Arabidopsis thaliana: one gene and its partners. The protein of the gene in region 3 interacts with the protein of the main gene of each other region in a pairwise test. Each region holds a gene or a part of one and is shown on either strand. Other genes may lie near its edges.

The links. Proteins that work in one complex are often made in the same cells at the same time.
Region 1: the proteins of AT5G58750 (region 3) and PRA1.B5 interact in a two-hybrid assay, tested with the Arabidopsis thaliana proteins (one large-scale study listed by BioGRID).
Region 2: the proteins of AT5G58750 (region 3) and PRA1.B4 interact in a two-hybrid assay, tested with the Arabidopsis thaliana proteins (one large-scale study listed by BioGRID).

What each region holds. Positions count from the first base shown.
Region 1 is NC_003076.8:240,650-244,309, reverse strand, and holds PRA1.B5 (prenylated RAB acceptor 1.B5), read left to right. Parts: upstream 1-1,987; 5' UTR 1,988-2,196; coding exon 2,197-2,868; 3' UTR 2,869-3,098; downstream 3,099-3,660. Other genes in the region: AT5G01650 (Tautomerase/MIF superfamily protein), read left to right, coding at 277-387, 862-1,062, 1,187-1,243; BRCA2B (BRCA2-like B), read left to right, coding at 3,399-3,552, 3,639-3,660. UniProt on the Arabidopsis thaliana protein: May be involved in both secretory and endocytic intracellular trafficking in the endosomal/prevacuolar compartments.
Region 2 is NC_003071.7:16,068,824-16,072,487, forward strand, and holds PRA1.B4 (prenylated RAB acceptor 1.B4), read right to left. Parts: upstream 1,842-3,664; 5' UTR 1,680-1,841; coding exon 1,017-1,679; 3' UTR 563-1,016; downstream 1-562. Other genes in the region: AT2G38350 (uncharacterized protein), read left to right, coding at 246-485; AT2G38365 (endonuclease/glycosyl hydrolase), read left to right, coding at 2,107-2,427; AT2G38370 (weak chloroplast movement under blue light protein (DUF827)), read right to left, coding at 3,361-3,664. UniProt on the Arabidopsis thaliana protein: May be involved in both secretory and endocytic intracellular trafficking in the endosomal/prevacuolar compartments.
Region 3 is NC_003076.8:23,726,668-23,730,768, reverse strand, and holds AT5G58750 (NAD(P)-binding Rossmann-fold superfamily protein), read right to left. Parts: upstream 2,182-4,101; 5' UTR 1,884-2,181; coding exon 723-1,883; 3' UTR 627-722; downstream 1-626. Other genes in the region: DDB2 (damaged DNA binding 2), read left to right, coding at 1-28; AT5G58740 (HSP20-like chaperones superfamily protein), read left to right, coding at 3,241-3,289, 3,391-3,539, 3,654-3,702, 4,007-4,101.

The sequences.
Region 1 (3,660 bases), about 23 Mb from region 3:
CTATTTTATAAACGTTCCTGGGCACTCAAATTTGAGCGGGCTTTTATAACTAGATTAAGGCCCATTTCTAAACAAAATAATCCAAAATCACTTCATCAGAGCGTTTGAAAGAATCTTCGAAACGAGAATGCAAACGTAAAAACGATGGGCTTGGGCCTAAGCGAATAAAAAAGGTTTAAGGATAAAAGGGGAAAATTCCTGGGTGGTCTTACTCTCTTTATCCGCTTGACTAAAAAAAATTGGCGTCGAGTGATAGAGACGAAGAAGAAGAAGAAAATGCCGTGCCTCAACCTCTCCACCAACGTTAACCTTGACGGCGTCGATACATCTTCCATTCTCTCGGAAGCTTCCTCCACCGTCGCGAAAATCATCGGCAAGCCTGAGAACGTAATCCCTTTTTCTCTCTCGATTTAACCTCTAGTTCGTTTCGTTCTGTTCGAATTTTGTTTCGATTCTTCGTTTTCTCCTGAGATTTGCCTTGTGTGCGTCTTTATCTCTTAATCATTTTCTTCTCCTTATTGAATAACAGCGATTCGAGTGTTGTTTTCTTCACATGCATGATATAGAAACCCTAAGCAATTTTATCTCGTTGCTCCGTTCTATTCTAGTGGTTCACATTTCCGGAGTCTTCTCTTGACTTATTTGTACAATCTTCGTTGGGGTTCTTCTTTTTTATTTTACCACGATTTCTAGGCCATTCCTGGCCCTTGAATTTCTCATTGCTGAAGTTTGTTTTCAAAAACAATATTGGTCTGCTTTGACGATTGCTTGTTTATGTTAGTGATGTTTAAATATTTTTGTCCTGTAATGTTGTTTCTTAGATCATTATCTGATTGCATTGTTCATTGTGGTAATTTGCAGTATGTGATGATTGTCTTGAAAGGCTCAGTGCCTATGTCATTTGGCGGGACCGAGGATCCTGCAGCTTATGGTGAATTAGTTTCTATCGGTGGCCTTAATGCGGATGTGAACAAGAAGCTAAGCGCTGCTGTTTCCGCCATTCTTGAGACTAAGCTATCGGTGCCCAAGTCTCGATTCTTCCTCAAGTTTTATGACACCAAGGCAAGCAATTCCCTCTCTCTGATAACTTTTTTGATGTAGTGACATAACATATGCAAATGTGTTAATGATTTCATATGCCCGATATGCGTCCATGTCTCATTTTCATTGTTCGTTGTCTCTCTAGGACCATCAAAGTCAAGAATATGCACAATGTTTACACGCTTTACACCAGCACTACTAGGTCATGAATAGGGAACAAATACATCTTATGTGTGTAAGTTCATCATCATAAGACGGACCTATAACTTTTACTCATAAACTAGGCATTATAAACAATTAAATCAAATGCATAAACCGTTCCACTACTCGAATTCAATCTTTACACCCACACTGTTGAGTTATTTAGGAGATTCGTTCAACTTCTCTAAATCCGTTGTCTAACTGGCTTAGAGGGTCATCCATCATCTGGAGTGTTTATGCCTATAACCACCTGATATATCAATTATACATTTCTTTTCTCGTGTGGTTCTTCTTGCAGGGATCCTTCTTTGGTTGGAACGGGGCGACTCTTTAATTCCGTGGTAGGTGATTAGTGTGATTGTCTTGAAATGTATGATCTACTCTCATCGATCAAGTAACTTTGAACTACTTCGTATTGTAAACATATCTAAGGTTTGATGGAGTTGCATTAAGAAATAACATTTATGCTATATATGATGCTACAACTTACTATCAGGGTAAACAATGGTTATTTAGTCTTTGTCTACTCGTTAGATATAATTATGTTTAGAATTCGAAGATGAATGTTATCAAAGAAAAAAGGATTTGACATTGTCAAGTCTACTACTCCATATGACAGATCAACATTGTGTTAAAAATATTTTCTATTAGGGAAACTTCCTGTGACTGGAACATTAATGGTCAAATGCACTTTGCCTAAGTAATCAAGAATTATTGTATAAACTACGTTAAGCAAAAAAATAACCTGAGTTATAATATCAGGAGGTTATTTTTATTTTTATTTTAGCAAATGAATATAGATTAGCTATCAGATGAAGCAAGGTGTATAATCAAAGTTGAAAGACGCGTAATTGTGATCCTATATATACATAACACTACCGCAACTTCAGCAACCTCTAAATCATTCGTCTCCTAAAATTTTCCAATCTCAAAATCCCAAAAGAACAAAATCGAATGGTGTCAACAAATCCCCCTGTTCTTCCAATTTCCACCACCGCAACAGACACCACCAATCAGCCTCCGATTGTAACCGCTGTGGTGGAATCGCAACCTCCAGTCGTCCGTGCATTTGTCAACGGTGTGACCGAGACGGTCTGTGGTGGTCTATCTCGTAGCCGTCCGTGGTCAGAGCTCCTCGATCGATCCGCTTTCACAAAGCCTGACTCTCTCTCCGAGGCCGGGACGCGATTCCGGAAAAATTCCTCTTATTTCAGGGTGAATTACGTTTGCATTGTCGCTCTGATCCTTGGTTTCTCTCTTCTCGCCCACCCATTCTCTCTCATCCTCCTCCTATGTCTCGCCGCTTCCTGGCTCTTCCTCTACCTCTTCCGTCCATCAGATCGTCCTCTTATCCTCTTCGGCCGATCTTTCTCCGAATACGAAACTCTCGGTGGCCTAATCCTCTCCACGATCGCAGTGATCTTCTTCACAAGCGTCGGATCTGTATTGATATCCGCTCTCATGATCGGAATAGCAACAATCTGTGTCCATGGCGCCTTTAGAGCTCCCGATGATCTCTTCCTCGACGAACAAGATCATGCCGCCTCCGGATTCCTCTCATTCATCGGTGTTCCCGCGATCCCCTCTGTAGCACCCTCTGCCTCCTCAGCGGCTTCCCCCGTGTAAATTATAGTTCTCAGAATCTGGCGTGTTTAGAGATTTGAAGGTGGAGATTGTTGCAATGTAATTTTCTGTGATACTTGACCATTGTTGCAATGTAATTTTCATTGAAGTCAGTCACCAATCACATTGAACAGATGTTTTAAAATGTCCACGTAAGCAATTATTGTTTGGAACGATTTCGGGTTAGCATTCGTGCCGTTAGTTACCGCAATAAAAGGCCGTGGCAATATCACACTTGTCTTGGAACGCTATGTCCGTAAAAACCAAGCCCAAAGTTAAAATAAAACCACGCGTCTCATAATTTCGGCCCAAATCTTTTTCAACTTTCCCGCCTTTGTCAGAACTTTTAACTTTTTGGATTTTTGGTGATGATTTTGGTTTGGGGAAAGAAAATAAAACAATAAAAATAAAAATTCCGCACTCCCGACTCCTCCCTCTTGGCGTGGTAGGCAATTCTGAATCGCGAGGTTTAGTTCTCCGGCTGAATCATATAACGACGAATCGGAAAACTTGGAAACCCTAGAACTGAATAAATGTCGACGTGGCATTTATTTTCCGATTCCAGCGGCGATGGTTTCCGGTGGGAAGTCGCTGGCCGGATTCTTCAGTCCGTCTCGGATTCTACGCCAACCAAGGCGCTCGAATCGACAGCTCCTCTACCTTCCATGGCCGATCTCTTGCTCCAAGGTGATTCTTCGTATCTTCCTTTTCTTTGTCGAATCGTGTTTGTCATGTGACTCAAAGGAGATTGAATTATTATTTGATGCTTCAAGGATGCTCGAAGCTTATAGAACG
Region 2 (3,664 bases), on a different chromosome or scaffold from region 3:
TTTCTAAGTCACTGGCATTGACAAATCCCAAGTTCAAGGAGATTCTAGTTTCCGAGGTCAATACAACTTAGGATATTGCTTTGCTTTTGGTTATAGAGATATTTGCGACTAAGACTTTGTACTTTTTTGTAATTTACTAATTTTCGTTGATGGAAGATGTCAAATTGGTGACTTATACCGTAAGCTAAAACCCTTAAAAAGATAAGAATGTAAGGTGGATTGTCACCCAATACTATTAATTTTAGGTAAGTAACAAATCATTTTTAAAACGAAGCTTCCTTGTTGGCTTAGGGTATACGCCACCAATTCGATATTTCATAGACATTGGGCCTTTGCCGAACTGGACTCGAAAAGAAGTAAATGAGCTTATACTGGGCCGGACTCGAGTACGAAGCCCAATACTAAAGCTGCTCATCGAATTATTTGTGCATCGCATTTGCTCCGACCCACGATTTCAAGTCAAGTCAAGTAGCGTAAATGCGTAATGTGGATATTGTTCTGCTGCTCATCCTCAATAGGAAGTAATTTCCTTTCGTTAAATCCTACGACTCTGATCCAGGTCTGTCTTATGATGGGTGCTTTTGAAAACTGGTGAAATTTGGATGGATCTTGCATGCACATGCATCCAAATTTGACTCTTTTGATTGTATACACGCAGTGCAATGTAGTCACATAACAAATCAAAAGATGGCTACAAGTTCTAATAAACAGATCCATTGCATTTTGAATTTGATCATGAAATAAATCCATATCTTCCAAAACAACACTTGTAAATTAAAAAAGGCTAAAGATTAACACAAAACGGTAGTAAAACTTCATCAAATCAAAATCATGCAAAGATATATATTTCATCTATAGCTATTGCCCATGAACAAGAACCAAAATTAGGCCAGATCCACAACATTTTCACGTTTATTGTTTTCAGATTAAAAAAACAAAATCTAAGTATCAAATTCAACAAATGAATCATATAGAAAGATTTACCCAGGCGAGGGAATGGTAGATCGGAATCGCATTTACACGCGAGCGGCGATAACAGCAGGCGCGGCTGAAGAGGCGGCACCACCGAGGAAAGAGAGGAATCCGGTAGCAGCAGGCTCTTGCTCATCAAGGAAAAGATCTTCCGGAGCTCTAAAAGCACCATGAGCACAGATCAACGCAACACCAATCATCATAGCCGAAACCAGAACAGATCCAACATCGGTGAGGAAGATCACAAAGATACTGAACAAAATCAAACACCCTAACGTCTCACGATCGGAGAATGTACGACCGAATAGAACGATCGGCTGATCCGTGGGACGGAACAAGTAGAGGAAGAGCCACGACGCGAGGAGACAGAGGAGGAAGACGAGAGAGAAAGGATGAGTGACGAGAGAGAATCCGACGATCGCTGTAGCGACGGTGAGGTAATTAACCTTGAAATACGAGTAATTCTTGCGGATACGAACAGCAGCGTCGGAGATCGACTCAGGTTTGGATAATGCGGAACGATCCGCGAGCTCAGCCCAAGGACGACGCTTAGAGAGACCGTTTTTAACGGTTTCGGTGATCTGATTGATGAAATTGCGGAAAGCTGGAGTAGCGATCGGTGGTTGAGATTCGACGGAGGAAGGAGCGGCGGATGGAACGGTTTGGGGATTGGAGATTGGGAGGACTGGTGGTGCTGAGGAAGCCATTGGAGATCAAGTTTGGTAGATCTGAGAAAGAGAGAAGAATTAGGGTTGAAGAAATTGAAGAATTGGGCAAGATCTGATTAATAAATTAAAGAGGGAAGGAGAGATAGATTTGTTTTATATACGGGTATGAGAAAATTGTTGACCTTCCTATTTCTTTCGTTGCTACGGGTCACCGACAATAAACGTGACTCTTTTCCTTTTTGGTTTTCCTATTATTATTTGATTTAATTATGATCTATATTAGGTTAAATCTCGTGTTTTAGGGAGATAAATGTTAAAGAGTTTTATATTTATATCTATTTTTTCCAAAATTTTAAAAGTGAATGAAACTATTATATTGAATTTTATTTTTCCGATAACGGTATATTACTATTTAATCAAGATTTATTAAGGTAATGGATACATTCTATGATTTTTGGAGGAGCTTATGTTATGGACAGTTGACCGGACACGTATACCAACTAATCTCATGGTAATCTCAAGCAAAATCACAGATGACTGCTCGTACGTCAAGTGTCTTTCGTTTATGATGAAAAGCAGGACTGGGAATATTCTCTTAGCTCAGCCTGAGAACTTGGCTCATGATGATGATTTATCACAATCGCTTCTTAGTCAAGTAACTGCAGTGTGGCTTTGGACAAGCCTATCATATGGAGGAAAGCCTATCTTCAATCGTGGGATCTCACAACTGGTCACCAAGAAGTGGACAAGTACTTCAGTTCAAGGGGAGACTTCAGTTAACCAATAACAGAAACGATGATGGTTATGAGACAGAGGATTACACAAAGGTGGGTGAGTCATCTTCAACACAGAGAACACCAATAACCATGTCTCGCTCCCGGCTCCACAAGAGATTTCGCCGCGGCTGAGATTGGCGTCTTCTGGGACATGGAGGTTGGTGATTGGGACTTGGGAGTGAACTCTTTTAACTCTTTTATTCAAATCTTTCAGTTTGTTTTCTTTCAATGAAAAGCTGATGGAAAGTCTCAGTAGTTTTGATCAATGCGTTATTGATTAGGCAGTCTTGTTGATTTCTTGAGATGTAAGTCATTTAAATCTCTTGTCTACTACAATGGTTTTGTGGCTTAAAGAGGTGTCAGAGAGTTGGCCAAAACAGAGGCGAATGCAGAGTCAAGTGTTTTGGCAATTTGTCAATGCTATATCATATGTGGCTACTACTGCAGCTATACACATTGCCAACAACAATCCATTGTTTCATTAACGCACCAAAGTCATATTGTGAGAAGAAGAATCCAAGCTACTTTGATCATGGCTCTACACTTACGAAGAGAGAATTAACTAGGAGATGTGTTTACAAAACCATTGTTTCCTAATCATGTTCCAAGTCTCATTGGATATTAGATACTACCTCAGTTTAAAATGATAAGTTTGTTAGTCCCTTGAGTCATATGATGATTTAGTTAGTCTCTTAACTGATTGTTCTATGTATACATATTAACTCTCAGAGTATAAAAGAAGCTTTGTAATAGAATTAAGTTACTGAAAAATTCCATACTTCATCATCTTCTCTGTTTCGTTTCTCTGTCAATGCTAATATGGTCGTATTGGGATTAATTAGCCTAGATTAGCATTATAATAAAGCACTTGATGATACACTTTGTTTTCTTAAACTACTGGTTCACGTACAAAACAGAAAGAAGTCATCAACAGATTCAAAATATCACCTTAAGTTCAAAGCTATCTTTTTCTTCTTCTTCTTGTTCTTGCTCTCTTTGTTCAACAACACAGAGATCTTAGCAAATCCGAAACTCTTTCTCTTTCGAGTCTTCGTCCTTTTCTCATTCTCTTTCCCTTCACTTCTCTTGCTTACAGTTTTATCACTACTGCTATTCTTTGCAAGCATCTGACCCAACGACATTTTTCTTCTCTCATTAGCAACATTCATATCTGAATCCTCTGCAAGAAGTAGCTTCTTGCTCAGTATTTGTCCTATTGACATTGTTGGTTTCAAGACTGGGACCGTT
Region 3 (4,101 bases):
AAAAACAACCAAGAAGACAAAAACTTAATATGAGTGAAGAAGGTCGTTATGTATAACTAACTTACTCTGTTTTTGTAGGTTTTCTTGTACAGAGTCTGTTTTAGTAGCATCCCCTGTTTTGCCTTTGGCGGCAATTTTGCTTCTTTTTTCTTTTGGGGGCGCATGATCGGCTTTTGTATGGCATTTTCTTGAAATCCTTTTTGGTGATTCTTAAGTATGAATTGTAGTAAGTATGTGGAATGGATCAATCTTGAATCTTCTCTTCAGTTTTTACTCTCCCCTGTTTTCTCTTACTTGTTGGAATGATTCTTGATCTCGCTGAGTGAAGAGTGGAGACATGGGATGAAATGTCTTTACTCTTACGTCATCTTGACAGCCAAAACTCATCTGTACTACGTATGCAATAACATCGATAAACAAACTGAGTCCAGCTAATCATCTTGTTGTTGTCTCAAGTATGGTCTGCCACTACTTCATCTTATTATATGTCACAATACATTCACATTTGTTCGGACGCGTTTACGAAACCTGACTGGAATTTTGGTTATCCACTGCTTGGAATCTAACTTAGCTATTGCATTTCACTGCAAAGGATTTATGTTTAATGATTTAGCTTAAAAGGATTTGTGGAAAGCTCATTATTCAAACAAACAAAACTTACATGAGGATTATTGATCAAGTACATATATACCGTGATCTACATTGCTAATGTACAACATGTGTTACAAAGGAATGAGTTTTTCATCTCTCATCACATCAATCCAATACAAAACCGAATCTAGGGTTCTATATTTCCTCTTAAACCCAAACCTATCTACTTTTTCTCTTTTCCCAAGAAGCTTAAACGGACATCTAAACAGAGCATCCAAGAAATACCAATTCGCCAAATCCTCAATCTCTGTCCTAACAAGCTTCTCCTTCACAACAATCTCATCCCACACATGTTTTCTCTCAACCATCTCTCTCCCAAACCAGAAACCTTCATCAAACATGGTTGTTTCGTTAACTTGTACACCAAGTTTCTTCCCTATTTCCGGCCAAATCTCCTTCCAAGTAAACCCTACTCCATTAATGGCGTTAAAAGCTTCCCCTTTCTCGCGTACTTTCCCACTTGTTGCAGCGAATATATGCTGCTCCGCGACTAAATTCGAATCAGAGCCATCTATGTAACTCTCTTCCCAACATTCTCTTGTTCCTCCAAACACAAAAGGAAGATTCAAATACTTACACATCGCTCCATAAACACAAAGACTTCCCATGAAGTTGTACAGAGTTCTTGAAGAGCTTCCCATTAGCAAACCAGGTCTTTGAACCGACCAAACAACGGAACTACGAGTGATCTTCTCCTTCAGCAAGTCCTCCAAAACATAGTAGAAATTCTTCCCAGAGCTCTTTCTTGGACACTCCTCGCTGTAATAATACAAACTCGAACCTTCTCCACGAGCCATTGTCTCTTCCACCAAAGACACATAATGCTTCATCCCCGTTTGAAGCGAGAAATGCTTTAACCTCTTAGCGTTTGGGAGAATCGCGTCCAAAGCGTTCATCAGCATCGTCTTGTTCTGTACGCAACATTCGTCGGTATCCAATGGAAACTCACCAGACCACGTGACCCAAAACACGTGACTCACGATGTCTTGTAATGGAGACAACCTCTGTTTAGTCTCAGATGCGTTAAGCAGATCGCAGGAGATGAAGTTGTACATCTTCGTCATGGAATTGATCTCCGGGTTACGCGCTACGCCGTAGATTCTCCATCCTGGTTTAGACATTAATAGCGTCTTAACAATCTCTCGACCCACAAGCCCGGTGACGCCAAAGATTAACGCTACATTCTCGTCTACTTCGTTTCTTCTCATCAAGCTGCCATTTTCAGACCCCATTGTGATTATTAGTGAGTTATGGACTTTGATCAAAGCTTCATATAAACGCTTAGAGTAAAGACAAAAAAAGTTTGTGGGACTGATTCAACGTGTTTTAGGATAGTTTCAAGACTCGATGCTTACCTGTTTTAAAGGCTATGATAAATTATCCAAAGCAAGTTGCTTTGAACACAGCTACGATGTAGCATAACGAAGCAACATTTGTTTAAGATAAAATAGACTAAAGTCAAACAGTGTTTTGGGTTTCATGTTAACGTGTTTATCAATTTAATTTGTGGTTCTGGAATGTGTTACGAAAGCAACAGTTGTTACAATAGTTTTTTAAGGAACCGTCGTGTACAGCATTTTGTCCGGTTCTCAATCGGACGGTCAAGATTTTGCGAGAGGCAGAGTCTGGCCCGTGGTTGCTGGCCGGCTTTTAAAATTATAGTACACTTCAAGTGGGTCTCTACTCTAATAGTATTCATTTTAGTTAACAGTCTCACCGGTCAAAACCGAATATTAGCCGACAACTTATTCAATGAACTAGTTATATATACACTCGTGAGTCGTGATGATTGTTTTTTCATAACTAGAACTCATGTACCCGAAACCAAACCGATTTGAGATCTAACTGTCGTTCGATTCATGCAGTGGCCAAACATGTATCATATCGAATTTCATCAAATGAAACAAGTTGACCAATGGAATTGAGAAAGTAAGTTTTTGGATTAGCGAAATGGAAGACCATAATTTACATTATCAAACAACTTTTTGATTGATCAAAATTATTCTTCTGTTATAAGTCAAAGTCTTTGATCACGTATAACGTTTTAATATGAGAAAATTGAATAACTACCCTGTCTACGTTGAAGAAACTGAAAGGGGGAAATGGGTACAGTGTATCTCTTGTCCCAAAGGACATTGAAAAGCTAAAAAACTAACACACTTGGCTACGTTTAAGGCTTTAAAATGGACCATGTTTTGTGGTAGACCTACACATTACTCTTCTTTCAATTTTGTTTTCCTCCGTATTCTATGCATTGAATAGACCCACTTCTCATCTTTAAATTTTCTGTGGAATTGTGAAAGAGTGTTCTACTTTGGCGACAACAAAAAAATGTTTCTTGGAACTTGGAAGAACTTCAATAAAACGGCATGGAGTTTTGACTTCCAAGTTAGAAACGGAGTGTACCTCAAGAAAAGGGATCTAAGCGTAAATAACTAAAACTAAGAACCCTAAAAGAAAATACATGATTATGAAAGGACTGAATCATAAATGCCTGTCCTCCAATGTTGAGACGAATTGAAAAGGAACCAGAACAACTACTATCAACGGTGATCGATTTCGCCGGGAACGGAGAAGAAAACCCTAGATATGGCGGAGAAGCTTGCGCCAGAGAAGAGACACGATTTCATTCACAATGGTTTCTCGCTTTCTCTATCCCCTCGCTCTATTTCTCTAATTTCAGCTGATTCCATTTCACGAGATTTGGTTTGAATGTTCTTCGATTTCCGATGGTTATAGGTCAAAAGGTATTTGAGTGGGATCAAACCCTGGAAGAAGTGAACATGTACATAACTTTGCCGCCAAATGTTCATCCAAAGTCATTCCACTGCAAAATCCAGTCGAAACATATCGAAGTTGGCATCAAAGGCAACCCTCCCTATCTCAATGTCAGTTTCTTTCGCTATCTTTCAATGTTTTTGATCCGTTTGTCTCATAAATCTGAGTTATTCGATGTGGTATATATAACTCGATTCAATTGTCTAAATTTTGTCAATTTTCAGCACGATCTTAGTGCTCCTGTGAAGACTGATTGCTCGTTCTGGACTCTAGGTACTCCATTTTTTGTTTTTGTGTCTGTATTGGGTGCTTGTTTTTGATGGTTAGGTTTCTGTTTTTAGACCCGTTCACTATTGCTAGAGAGGATAAACTGAACCTGGAAATGTGATCTGAGTTTGGTATAAATAGTGGGACATATAGTTTGGAATGTGGAAAATTTGAGACTAATGGAGGGATGATGGAATGTACAGTATATTTTGGGTTATATTATCAGCGTATGTAAGTTACTGGCATAGTTTTTTTAGGTTCATAGTCTGGCACTGATTGCTAATCTGGATTGTTATGTTTGATTTGGCAGAGGATGATATAATGCACATTACCCTGCAGAAGAGGGAGAAAGGGCAAACATGGGCATCACCGATTCTGGGACAGGGTCAGTTAGATCCTTACGCC